Linked DNA regions of Neodiprion lecontei. The protein of the gene in region 1 interacts with the protein of each later gene in a pairwise test. Links are inferred from orthologs where the notes say so. Each region holds a gene or a part of one and is shown in the gene's direction. Other genes may lie near its edges.

Region 1 (6,326 bases):
GAACTGGGACAAGTCTCTGAGATAAACGATCTACAATTAAAGTTGAGGCATATGTTCAACATGCGTTTATCAAATTCCAGTATACTCACTCTATACATTTGATAACGTATTTCTGACGAAAACTGAACATGTGCCGGGTAACTTTTTCAAATAAATCAAATTCATGGTTTGTACCAGGCTGTACCAGCGGTGTAAATGTCACAACCCCGACATCCACGTCAGGCTGTGGAACAAATGCTTTGCCTGCAGCAAAACAGGTGGTAATGAGATGAGGAATTTTTGAGTGAATTCTGAGTCGATCCATCCAAAAATATAAGCATAAAAACGTCTCTGCTTTAAATTAATACAGTACTAGCAAAACCAAAATGTTTACTCACCGGGAATGACAAACTTTAGATGCGGTTTGGTCCAAGTCTGTGCCATGACTGACAATCTGCAGCGATCCCGAGCGTATGCTTCTGAGACGAGGCGTTCAGCAACTTCCTTTTGAAATGTGAGTGTCATTTTGGTTCTTCCCATGGCCCACGGTCCACTTTTCTCAGAGATAGCTTTAAGCCAGACGATAATAAGATGAGTCGATACGCTGAATGGTAGATTACCGATCAAATGAATCCTTGGTGGAATATCTTCCCAGCTTTTTTTCTCACACTCAGGAAACAAGTTCAAATTTACATTCAATATATCTCCTATGATTATTTCCATTTCGCCATTGACGTTTTGAAATGTTTCTTGGAGTAGCTGCAACGTAGGCAAAAATCTATTGTCTTTCTCAACTACTATTAACCTCTGTGGATACTTTCTCATTATCGATCGCGTCAATCCCCCTGGTCCAGGTCCGACTTCCAATATATGTCCATCTTTTATTCTACCTGCTGTTTTGATGATTTTATCTGTGAGACGTTCGTCCATTAAAAAGTTTTGGGACAACTGTTTACGCGCTTGAAGGCGATACAGTTTAACCAAATCTCTTATTGTGGGCAACGGAGGTAATCTTAGAATGGTCATTTTGGTGTGAACTTATTATTTTCTGTATATTTTTTCAATGTTAGATCGTAACAACCTATGAATATATCTAATCCTATATTATCGTTGCCTTCACGATAATTGTTATTCTGTCGTTTTTACTGGCTCTTCGAAATCATCAAGGAAATTTTCCTGGCGAACTGCATACATGGAGTACCCGTATATTCCTAGAACCAATGCTCCTAGCGCTAGACCGGTATATCTGTTGTTTCTTTGCATTCGTTTCAAGCTGGCCACTCTCTCAAGATTCCTCTCTTCTATAAGTCGCATGTACTCTTGTTCGACAAGCGTTAGTTTACGAAAGTTTTTCCCTTCATGGATTTTTGGCATCTGCTCATCAGCCATTGCACAACGATCTGAAAACGAGTGAACAAAGCTTCATAAATGAAACGAAAAAAACATTTATTCATTTTTATCCTATTTTGTGATTGCGCCGTTGTATACAAGCAATATTCTATGTTTTGTAGAAGTTCTTTTTTATTATCATTCGATTCAATACAAGTTATAGTATCGTTTACTGTAAGAATGAAATAAGAACGATCTTTGTGACAACTAAATGACTAGAAATATATTGATATTATTTAAACGGCAACAAAGCTGATAGTTGGGAAAAATTATCATGGGGATAAGAAAAATCATTGGAAAACTGAAAATTCCCCGGTTGATTAGTGATCATCAATAAATTGTCGTGGGATCGCAATTAGAGGTTAGAACATCGCGGAGTCTGTACCTACGCTCCAAGTACCGGGACATTTGTAACCACGATACTTAATCGGAACCGTTAACGGCGAACCACATTACTTAATCGTAAAAACCGTTGATATTTTGCAATGACTCACCTCTATATTGCAGAATTTATGGGATGATCTTCAACACACGTAGGTTACGTCGATTGTCACCATGATGGCATTAGAATGTGATGATGATGAGGCCCAGTTTTATTAGAATCTTCAATCTCCGCTAGACGACGCTACCATTGCACAAATCGTCACCTACCATATAGCGACGATTGCAGTTGTACCTTTCTCACCGACCATCATCCATAGGTAGTTTCGTTAATGACAAGTCGCAGGAGCCCTGATGTTTTCAGCCAATTGTATCTTCGAGTAAATTGGAAATAACCAATGACGTGGCTTTTGCTGTGTAAGCGAATTTACTGATACGTGTGAATCAGGTTGTGTTAGTCTTCTGCGAGCTGTCAAATAGCGAAAAATGGAATCAACAAGTAGTGAAGGAAACGATGATTATTACCTCGAATTGTCGCCTGATCCTGTGAGATTCGAATCGATCAGCCCGTTGACAAATGTTTTCTTCGATGACACGAACAAGCAGGTCTCTTTATTTGGATTTTCTTAAACTGCATTGATAACCTAAAATATTAATGATGGATTATCCCTCGTTTGATAGCCCCTTGACAGCTGCAAAATTCATGCTGTAGGTATTCGCTGTTCGTTCAGAGGGCGTTATCGGGGTCCTGGTCAAGGGTCCGGAGCACAATTTGAATTTCAGAATGGAAGACAAGGGTCCCATAATCTCAATCAAGTTCTCGCTCGACATGAACATCCTTGCTATACAACGGACTAATACTTCTGTCGAGTTCATCAATTACTCATCGGCCTCCGGATTGGACAATGTGGAATACTCGCAGACTTGTAAAGGAAAGAATGCCTCTATCTTAGGCTTCGTCTGGACACACAGCAATGAAATTTTATTCGTCACAGATCACGGAGTGGAACTGTTTTTGGTGAGTATCAGGCAGAGATTTTTTTCTACCTACTTTTCCTCCATGTGTGATCACTGTAAAAAGCACCATATAAGTCTGTGTAGATGTTAGATCAATAATACTCTATATTTTTTAGGTGGTTCCAGAGAAGCGAACTGTCAAAGCACTGAAATCCCTCAGTTTGGGAGTCAATTGGTTTGTCTTCTGCCCTCAAAGCTACCTCGTTCTCCTCTCGTCTGGTACCATCGGCAACCAAATGCAAGCGCTGCATATCACTCCTGGAAACTTGCACAAGCTCACCAAATTTGAAAGTGAGACAAACTTCTCGGGATTAACTTTGGAGATTGATTAGCCGATTAACGGAGATAGATATTGCATTGTTTCAGTGGAGGCTGGAGCCACGAAACCTGGGAAGCTCGCAGTTTCGGAGAGAGATGTAGCGTTGGCAGTTCTTTACGGAACCCCATCAATAATTGTGCTGCGCCATCAACCAGGAATCAATCGAAGCCTTGGTACGGCTCAAGTCTACGTCTACACAGTGCATAAGTAATTTTGTAATTTGCTTTTTCTCCGATTTTACCTCTTTCAAAGTACTCTCAATGATTCATTGATGATCCAATGTTTCAGAATGCTCACGATAAAGAAGAGCCACATTTTAAAACTCGACACTAGTGGCCGATTCGCAATCAATGTTATCGACAATCTTATAATTGTGCATCACCAAGCATCCGAAGTAAGTCTTGTTCACAAAGAACTACCTTTTTGAAAACGGTATTTTTTTCAGACTATTGACTGGTAGGAGATAAATCTGCTGATATGTACTGCTTATTTTATAGAAGCAGTTTAGCATCATTTTTCATTACTGATTGTGAACCAATTCGAAGCACTTTTTCTTACCATTGAAACATGGCAGTCTTTGAGTTTTATCTCGAGAGTAATTGATTGATAAATTACAGACTTCGATGATTTTTGACATTAAATTGCCGGGAGTGAGCGACGGCACTGTGATGCATCATACCAGTATAGCTGCACCCAAGCCGATAAGACCATACAGTTTGAAGGTCCCTGGCACGACTCTGCTAGAGCAATTATCTCAGCCCTGTCTACTTTGTATCCTTTTGAAAAAAAGATAATGATTATAAAAATAACAACATTGATCACCAAGCGTTTTACTTAATTTCTCTTAGATTCCCCTGGCTGGGTTGTTTTTCAACCAAATATAATAATCGATGCAAAATTAGGATGCCTTTGGTAAGTTTATGAGAAAAATATTCAACTTGTTTTCAATCTAGGAGTTTAAAAGATGCATGGAGTAAAGAAGTTGTCGATTAATTCACAGGTTTGTTAAGCTGCGACTTGAATCGTTGGTAAAATTAATCCCCGACAAAGTACTGCTCGTTGAGTTTTTAATGCAACGAAATGATTCCAAGCAGGTTTTGATGCAAGTTGTGAAGGAAAATGTTACTCAGCTACCGTCAAGCTTGTTGTACATGTCAACGATTTTTGATAAGTTGAACACTGTTTATCGTAACCACCTCGAAAATGAGTTGCAAAGCCAAGTAAGTGACCATTGTGATGAATAATAGCGATAAAAAACCCATTGCACATTCATCTTCTATCGATCAATCGACAGATGGGAACGCCGCTGCAAATTGGGTCCAAAGGTGTCGCCACAGTGTCAGAAAACATTAAATACAAACAAATAATTGATCAGAGCGATATGTACACTTACATATTGTCAAAGTTTCCCGAGGACACGACAGAGCCAAAAATGGTGGTTTGGATACTGTTGGAATACATTAGGTACATGCCTTGACGAAAAGTGTAGTTTGAAAAGAGTTTTTTTTTTTTTCAGCGTATAGCTCCCTGGGTATAAAATCTCTCAATGAACTTTCTCCGATTTTTTTTCCTTAGGTCTCTGGCCGATCATGATATACCTGTTCAGCACTACCTCCATGAATTGGTAATCACGACTTTGGTTCACCGGAAGGCTTACTATCAGCTGCATCAGTTGCTACAGTATCACGTTGTCGCTGACTCAAAACCACTCGCCTGTCTTCTACTGTCTTTGGAAAGTCTCTATCCAGCTGCTCACCAACTTGCGCTAGATATGCTCAAGCGATTAGGAAATGCTCACGAAGAAATAATGGAAGTCTTGCTATCCAAAGGACACATATTACCGGCATTACGGTGAGCTGAACACCCTTGAAAATGCATCTTACAATTGTAAAAATGAAATTTCATATTTCAAGGTGATCCGCCTGGAGAAAATACATATCTTTCCATTACAGGTATGTCAGATCGGTCGGAATAATCGATCAGGTTTCTGCTCGCAAATTTTTGGAAGCAGCAAAGACCTCGAACGATCCTAAGTTGTTTCACTCCGTTTATAAGTTCTTCGAAAATCGCAATTTGAGACTCCATAACACAACTGCTTTCACAAGAGGGGAACATTGTCAAACATATGTACAGCATTTTAAATATTTATTCCAAGGAACTGACAACGGCTGTAATTCAGATACAAATTCAAATGTATCGACTATGTCATCGTAGGTCGAATCGCAATTTATTTGCTAATCGTAACACAATTATACATATTGATTTGGTCATGCATTGAATAGCGAGTTATAATAGAAACAGCCATGGTTATGTACCAAATAATCAAATGGTATTATTTTTTTTTTCCTCTACCTTAAGGTTTGGCTGAAATTATCAGGAATAATTAACTCAGCATTCGCGTATCATCACGCTTATGTTTTTGTTCAATGCCCACAATTCACAAGACTAGTGCAATCAAGAATTTGTGAAATTTGTGAACAGGATGATAAACATGCATGGAAAACCAGAAAAATGCAGAAAGTAAGGAACTAGCAAACTATTTGTAATCTTACGGTCATTCCGTTTCATTTCTCGTACTGTTCTGTGATACATTATAATTAATGCTGTGTTGAGAATGGTGCTGCTTGAAGCTCTGTTGTGTAAATTATAATATTGTATAAAAACATTTCCGTGGGATATGTTATTATGAGGATAATATATGTAAAATATTTGTTTTTGAATTTACTATTATTGACTGAATATTACCGCATGGAATAAGTCTGGTATATTTTCGTTCCCATCACGAAGTTACTATTACTTTGTGGTTCCCACGAATGACAAGTTGACAAAAAATCGAACGTCTCTCATTATCCACAAACTTTTCACCGAATGCATAACGAACTGATTTAAAGTACGCAATAATAGCTACATTCACGTTGTCGCCGAAGCCAATCTCTACAACTTCAGAGAGGCAAAGTGATAGCTGGTAGAATTATCAAAATGGCGATGATGGTCGGAGGTCTAATTGAACGAGTGAATACAATTGATGAAAATAAACAAGTACTGAGTGAATTAGCGAGAAATAACGAGGTGAAGATCAATTGCGTAAAGTGTAAACTATGCGTAGAAAATTTTTTATCATTGAATCCGTATCGCTAAGATCGATTAAATCGTAATTGTTCTGCCGCATTTTTCAGTTCGTCGAACCCAGCAAAGAAAAACTCGACAAACTATTCGATAAATTGAACGCTGAGAATGCGAG
Region 2 (6,607 bases), about 20 Mb from region 1:
ATAATTACGACCTACTACTCAAACTCACTTCCATTGTGACTTTCAGAGTTTTGAGATCTGTATGGTGCTCACAGTACTCTGACAAAATCCTCGTTAATCTTTCGCACCACTTGGCACACCCGATATTGGTCAAGAGTCCTGGCAAGCTGGACATGTAAGCATGTCGCAAATGGGCATCTTGTTCGAACTCCATACTACTCAGTAACGACAAGATGACGTCATCTCGTATAGTCCACTGTAAGGGGCAAGTTTTTTGCTTAATTAAAACAATTATGAAATACTGATAAGAATGTTGGTAGAAGGGAATCCGTCTATAGGCATATTATTCGTACTTGTAGAGAATCTGTGTTGTTGTAGTATTCCAATGTTGACAAAAGGCTCCTTATGCAAGAGTACAACGGGATAATGTATGCCACTTCTCGAATAATTAACAACCTCTTCAAGGCATCGTATATCACCTCTGCGTATCCAGTATCCACAAGCTCTTTCCTCTGAAAATGCAGTGATCCTAGTACCAATTTATCAGTATTAAGATTGTGTGATTTACACATTCTTTCAGATTGAAAAAGAGTTCAGTCACCCTCATCATGGTCAAAAGAAGTCTATCATTAGTAATCGTAGAGTTCGCAGGTTCGCGTATATCTAAATGGTTCTAAAAAGCAAAGTATTGTAACAATTTTTCTTAAAAAAAGGTGATCTATCAATGCCTGCTAGTACCAGTAACTTCATTGCAAAGAAATTAACTGTAGTTAGAAAATACACTACCATTTGTGCGTGTTGTAAAATCTTCCCAATACATTTTATTCCAGTCAGTCTATTTTCAACAACGTAATCATCCAAGATTATCAGCGCGGTTGGTATTATACTGTTCATGTGACGGACAAGATTAGGTTCCTGTAAATACAAAAATGCATGAGGTTGGAGATGATATCGTTGGCTGCCACAAAATGTGAACATGACATTCAGTTACTTGAAATGTTTCACGGTTTAGGAGTGGAACTGAGAATAAGTTATTATTTAAAAGCAAACTTGAAGCTCATTCAATCTATTATTCCATATACTTAGTTTTTCCAGAGATGACTTTATTTTCATATGTTTGTTACGTTGTTGTTACAAACTTTGAAACTGAAAGAAATTCTTTGATATCAACACATAACTAACCAAAAGTCATGAGTGCAGGGGTTTGACCAACCTCTACTTGCCATAATATCCACTTGTAACAAATTACAGCCGCAGGATAATTCTTCCAAGTATCCTTGAAGAGCTTTGGCCTAAGAACGAGGAGCACTGCCTCAATTACGCCACTGCCATCCACACTAGATCCCTCGCCTCCCTTTCCGACTAATAGCTCGGACATGGATCGACACTTGCAGAGATCGCAGAGGTTAGATTGAATGGAGCTGACTATGGACACCGACTCTGCGGTGTTCCACACGTTCTTCTCGCTCTGTTCGCCGATGATGATAATCAAGTTTATCAGGTAAGTGCGAAGGGGGTGACTCCGCGATGCAGTTTCCCTGACGTTTTGCTCCCCAAAAGTCGTTGCTACGTGACGAAGCGTAGCCTCCACATTCCGCAAATTTCTGTTTACGATCTGCCTGTACTCACTGTAATCCTTTTCTTCGCAGGGTCGTTCATTTCCAATTTTTTTACACGGTACCAACGTGCCCTCGGTCAGCTGAACGCAACTTCTCCATAAATCGTCGTTTAATGTGTTGCCAGTTATCTTCATCGACTCCAATTCACGGAGCAGGTCGTTCATCATAGAGCGGATCGGTTTCCTAGAAATTACAAGATTGCGGCAGCGCCCTGGAGGACTATAAAAAAAGAGTTTGACCGCTCCTCTATCTGTTAACCTTAAAATTTGATTCAAGATTTTCTACCATCCCGCACAACGCATATCGCAGGGACAGAGTCGATCAGCGAGGCGCGATCGTCCGATTTTCGATTTTCGAGTTATGTTTCGAGGGCCGATCGGTCGAACATAGACCGTAGACCATGCTTAATACGGATGTTGGATCATTGAGCATAGACTATAAACGGGATTCACTAAATTCGGTTCCTACGCTACGGTAGTGCTGCATAGTGAGCATCGGTTGATTATTTGATTTTTGATAATACTCTCTGGTTAATATATTGATTGAGAATATCGGTAAATATGAATTAATGCAACCAGCAGTAGTAGCTGTTTGTTGATAATGGCTGAGTACCGTTAGTTTATTTTCTAAATATTTTTCTTAGCTACTTTTTCCTACGTCAGTTCCACAGTATCCGCGCTGTCGTTTGCTTTTGACGTGAGGCACACGCATTGTCACGCCCATCTTGATTGTAACCACACTGACACGTATCTTGTAATTGCTCACTTCACCCTGTTTGACCGCGACTCTATTCGTAAGCACCATTTTCGACACCATTCTCTTCCTAATTAATATTCATCACCTATCAATATTCGTTTTAGGCCGAGAGATTGTCTCTGTATTGTTGAATTCACTTGCTCCTAAAAAATTCTCGCATGTTCAAAACAGCAATAATAAACATTCTTTCCCATTTACCTATCACTTGTTATCAATAACTACAGTTTACTCGCATCCTCTCTTCACAGTAATTGCAATTATTCATTAAGAATTGAATCTTTTTGCAGACCTGAAATTGTCACACAGCTATGCTTTGCCTATCTTACAAATGTTTTGTAATTAATTAGAGAAACAGGCTTAACCTTCTCAATTAATAATTAACTAGCAACAAATCTAACTAAGGGTTAAGAATAGTATTGGTCTTATATAGTTTGTTGCGATGCGAAGTTATCAGAAATTCTGAGCCTATCAAAGAGTTACGGTTCCTTTTTTTTTTGGCAACCCTGTATGTGCATCCAAATATACTCATTATTTTTTAATAGAAAAATAGGCGATCAACACTGACTGATTTTTTAATTTATTGCAGGCAGTTCAGACTCGTATCGTGTGTCTTCAGGAGTGGGAAGCGATTCTGAAGTAATGGCAGAATTAGCGGCACTTTTGCGCCATGAAATCCCCGATGGGAGAAGCCACCTGGCCGATAGTCACACAAATTTGGAGCGAGTAGCAGAGTATTGCGAGGCAAATTATTTCCAAGCCGAGAACAAACGGCTAGCTCTTGAAGAAACTAAAAATTACACAACTCAGTCACTTGCCAGTGTTGCATATCAAATAAACACGCTGGCTTATAACTTTCTGCAGTTGTTGGATCTACAGACTTCGCAACTTGCGGAAATGGAAAGTCAGATGAACCACATTGCTCAGACAGTTATGATTCACAAGGAAAAGGTTGCCAGAAGGGAAATAGGTGTTCTTACTGCGAACAAAATGACCACGAGACAGTATAAGATTATTGCACCGGCAAATCCTGAAAAACCTATAAAATATGTAAGGAAAAGCATTGATTACACCATCTTGGATGAGATTGGTCATGGTGTACGAAGCGGAGGTACTCCTAGAAGCAAACAGCGTGGGGGGAGCCAGGGCAGTGTACAAAGTCTCGGTGCCGCTTCGACTGGTTCTGGTTTAGGTGCAGTCATTGTGGGTCCAGCACCTACTACGAAGCCACCAACTCCACCACAAACAGTCCGAACAGGTAATCAGTTCGTTTTAATAACAGAGATGTAGCCATTGAATAGCTAAACCAAATAGTTTTAGAATTCAAAATATTTTCTAAATATTTTTGATCAACTTTCTATTGGCACTTATTGTTTTCAGGAACACTGAGTAAGGGCTCCCGTGAGTACAGAACACCACCCGCAGTGGCTCCACCCCAAGTTCCCAGTCACTATGCACCCAATTACCCCTTAGGTCATCCTAGACGGGAACGAGGACCCGGTTATAGTACATTGCCACTCCACGCTCATACCACCCCGCATCCCTCTCATGGGCTTCAGCATACAGCTCATACTGCTACTCTTACTCAACACACTCTACCTCCCCAAGTTGGAACTGTTCATCCACTTCAAAGCCATCCGCAAACTCCACCTCCCGCTCCACCCAGTATCACTGGAGCTGCAGGCTATGTCCAAGAACATCTCAACAGCATGCCACGTAAGTAGGTTTATAATTCTCTTAATGACTTAAATAATTTAACTTCGAGCTCTAACGTCAGGTATTGATCCATATGTTGTATTGTCACTACTAAACTATGCTATATGTAATGCAAGTATGATTTACTCGCCTTTTTTTGACTGCGTTCCAAACTTAAAGTACAAGAACAAAGCAGTTTGATGTTCTAGTACTCAAAAGTGCATTTTGGTGTACTTTATGATAACAATCTATGCGCAAGCGATATACTTGGTATATAAAGTATCGTGTGCATCTTATATTGTAAACTTACACTCAGCGTAAATGGACCCACTTTACCTACTTGATGCACAATGTACTATTGTTTGTCAATGAATGATTAATACGATAAAAATTTTTGGCATGATTTCTCAGAAAATAGTAATTGTCAGTTGTGTATTGTCACAGCCTTCCCTGGCTTGTGTTTCGCGAGTTCTGTTGGCTTGTATGGCCAGAACAACAGAAACAGTGATAAAATAGTTTCCTGCACACATTCTCTGATTTTGCTTAATAATTAAATGCAGATTAACTTGCAGATGATCTGCATATCATGTTTTTTTTTATCTTACAGCACCTCCCTCGCCGCTAGTTGGCTCTGGGGGTGAAATGACTAATTACAGTGGTCACCATACTCTGCCGCATCGACTATCTCATCAAGTTAGCCGCAGCAGTGGAGCAAGCAGCCCTCCATTGCCTCCACCGCCACCCCCTGAACACGACGAACATTCTCAATTTGGAAGACCACAGCAACCATCTGGTGCTATTATGCCGATTGTGCCAGATGAGGAAGACTTACCTGGATGGGTACCAAAGAACTATATTGAGAAAGGTATAAATTATAAAACCGAATACTCAGTTACGTTAATCAGTTTTATCCCCGTTTTATGATTGGAATGTAGGAGGTTCGTTTTGTCTTGTTCCAGTGGTGGCCATTTATGATTATTATGCCGATAAAGAAGATGAATTGAGCTTCCAAGAGAGTTCGGTTATCTATGTTTTGAAGAAGAATGACGATGGATGGTGGGAAGGCGTAATGGATGGAATAACTGGACTATTTCCTGGGAACTACGTAGAACCCTGCGTTTAGAATACCTATTTCCTTTCTAATTTGGATCAATTAGTTTTTGTATGATGAGTACTAGTGGTTAATAATCGAATATTACAGTTACAAAATTGTTGTACGATATATGAATCAGTGATTTGAAACTGCACTTTTGCGGTCCAAGAGTCTTTGCATTTGAACACTATTTCGTACGTGTTTGTTCCGCTTGTTATATGAAGTGACGAGATCTTTGCGGGTATTTCAAATGCGAGGCTATCTCCAAACGCGCTATATTGCCGATTCATTGAAACTGATATCCTTGTAGTTTTTGTTACCAGACCACTTCGGAAACAATATCGTACATATGGCTTCAGTAAATTAATTCGTAATTATTGTTTTACTCCTTGGCTCTTCTGAGAAAATAATTCCGTAGTGTCATGAACTTTCTATGAATCCTGAAAAAAGAATTACTCTGCAACTCCTGTAACTTTAGACTAATATTTGAAATGTAAAATAATCAATGAAATCGATCTGGGTGAATAATTTTTTTTTTTTTTGTATGAAATTAGTAAAGAGTACATTCTATATACCAAACTGAAGAAAAATATATTGTAGGTCACAAGTAATTGTGTCCTATATCATAAAATAATAGTCTACTTATTAGGTGTAGTAAATCGCTTTATATGCCTGGAGGTATATCAGAGCGGCCTAGGATAGCTATATTATGAGTGTATAAGTTGACATTATACCCATCTTTTCAAGTTGTTTGCTAATCGTGGGATACTTCTATGCGTAAGGATTACACATAATAGACTGCGATTGTTAAACTACATAAGATTGAATGGAACCTTGTTTACTCTGAATAAACGAAATATTCAGCATACGGGTCTTCACTTGATTCACCTTTTTTTCGAGCGAAAACTTAATGATTTGGGATAACATTCAATCTTTTCCTTACTGATTGGAACCCCAGGAACTCAGAAAACGCAACGGAAAGAGCGTAGGACCAACAGAAGAGAAATGGCGAATAAAATTCTTCGTTTTTCGGCTGTAACATTTCACAGAATGATCGCAGCTCATTGGGACCACGCCTAATCGATTTTTCTCGCAAAATTACGTCGGAATAGTGCCACAATCAATTTATTCCAGCACTTTTGAAAATCGCGAAAATTTTCGCCAAAAATACAAAGGGGTTAACCTTCTTTTTTTTTTGACCAGAAAATTTTTCGTCTCAGAATTGATTCGTATGACTCTTTTCCGACCAATTGGACCCCAAGGAACTCAGAAAACGCAGCAAAAGAAGCGTGGGATCAACGGGAGAGAAGATACAAGGAAGAAAGCACCTGCTGAAAAATGTCGAAAATTCAGGTTTTCGTTTTTTGGCTGTAACTTTCGATGCGTTGATCGCAGCGTATTGGGACTGCGCCCAATCGATTTCTCCCGCAAGATTGCGTTGGAATAGAGCCACAATTAATTTATTCCA

What was found.
Region 2: the proteins of regulator of MON1-CCZ1 complex (region 1) and abl interactor 2 interact in a two-hybrid assay, tested with the Caenorhabditis elegans proteins (2 studies listed by BioGRID). The link is inferred for Neodiprion lecontei from reciprocal best matches to the Caenorhabditis elegans genes Y50D4A.4 and abi-1.

Annotation. Positions count from the first base shown.
Region 1 is NC_060263.1:20,633,958-20,640,283, forward strand, and holds regulator of MON1-CCZ1 complex, read left to right. Parts: upstream 1-2,054; 5' UTR 2,055-2,235; coding exon 2,236-2,355; intron 2,356-2,430; exon of another isoform or gene 2,431-2,461; coding exon 2,462-2,767; intron 2,768-2,882; coding exon 2,883-3,057; intron 3,058-3,132; coding exon 3,133-3,292; intron 3,293-3,373; coding exon 3,374-3,479; intron 3,480-3,702; coding exon 3,703-3,856; intron 3,857-3,933; coding exon 3,934-3,997; intron 3,998-4,085; coding exon 4,086-4,305; intron 4,306-4,379; coding exon 4,380-4,549; intron 4,550-4,660; coding exon 4,661-4,936; intron 4,937-5,037; coding exon 5,038-5,295; intron 5,296-5,443; coding exon 5,444-5,453; 3' UTR 5,454-5,805; downstream 5,806-6,326. Other genes in the region: dimethyladenosine transferase 1, mitochondrial, read right to left, coding at 90-243, 378-1,005; cytochrome c oxidase assembly factor 3, mitochondrial, read right to left, coding at 1,108-1,368; transcriptional regulator ATRX-like, read left to right, coding at 6,065-6,154, 6,262-6,326.
Region 2 is NC_060263.1:284,341-290,947, forward strand, and holds abl interactor 2, read left to right. Parts: upstream 1-2,050; 5' UTR 2,051-2,198; coding exon 2,199-2,211; exon of another isoform or gene 2,212-2,228; intron 2,229-2,255; exon of another isoform or gene 2,256-2,391; intron 2,392-2,940; coding exon 2,941-3,609; intron 3,610-3,731; coding exon 3,732-4,067; intron 4,068-4,653; coding exon 4,654-4,911; intron 4,912-5,005; coding exon 5,006-5,169; 3' UTR 5,170-6,005; downstream 6,006-6,607. Other genes in the region: TELO2-interacting protein 2, read right to left, coding at 29-256, 333-491, 766-894, 1,193-1,765.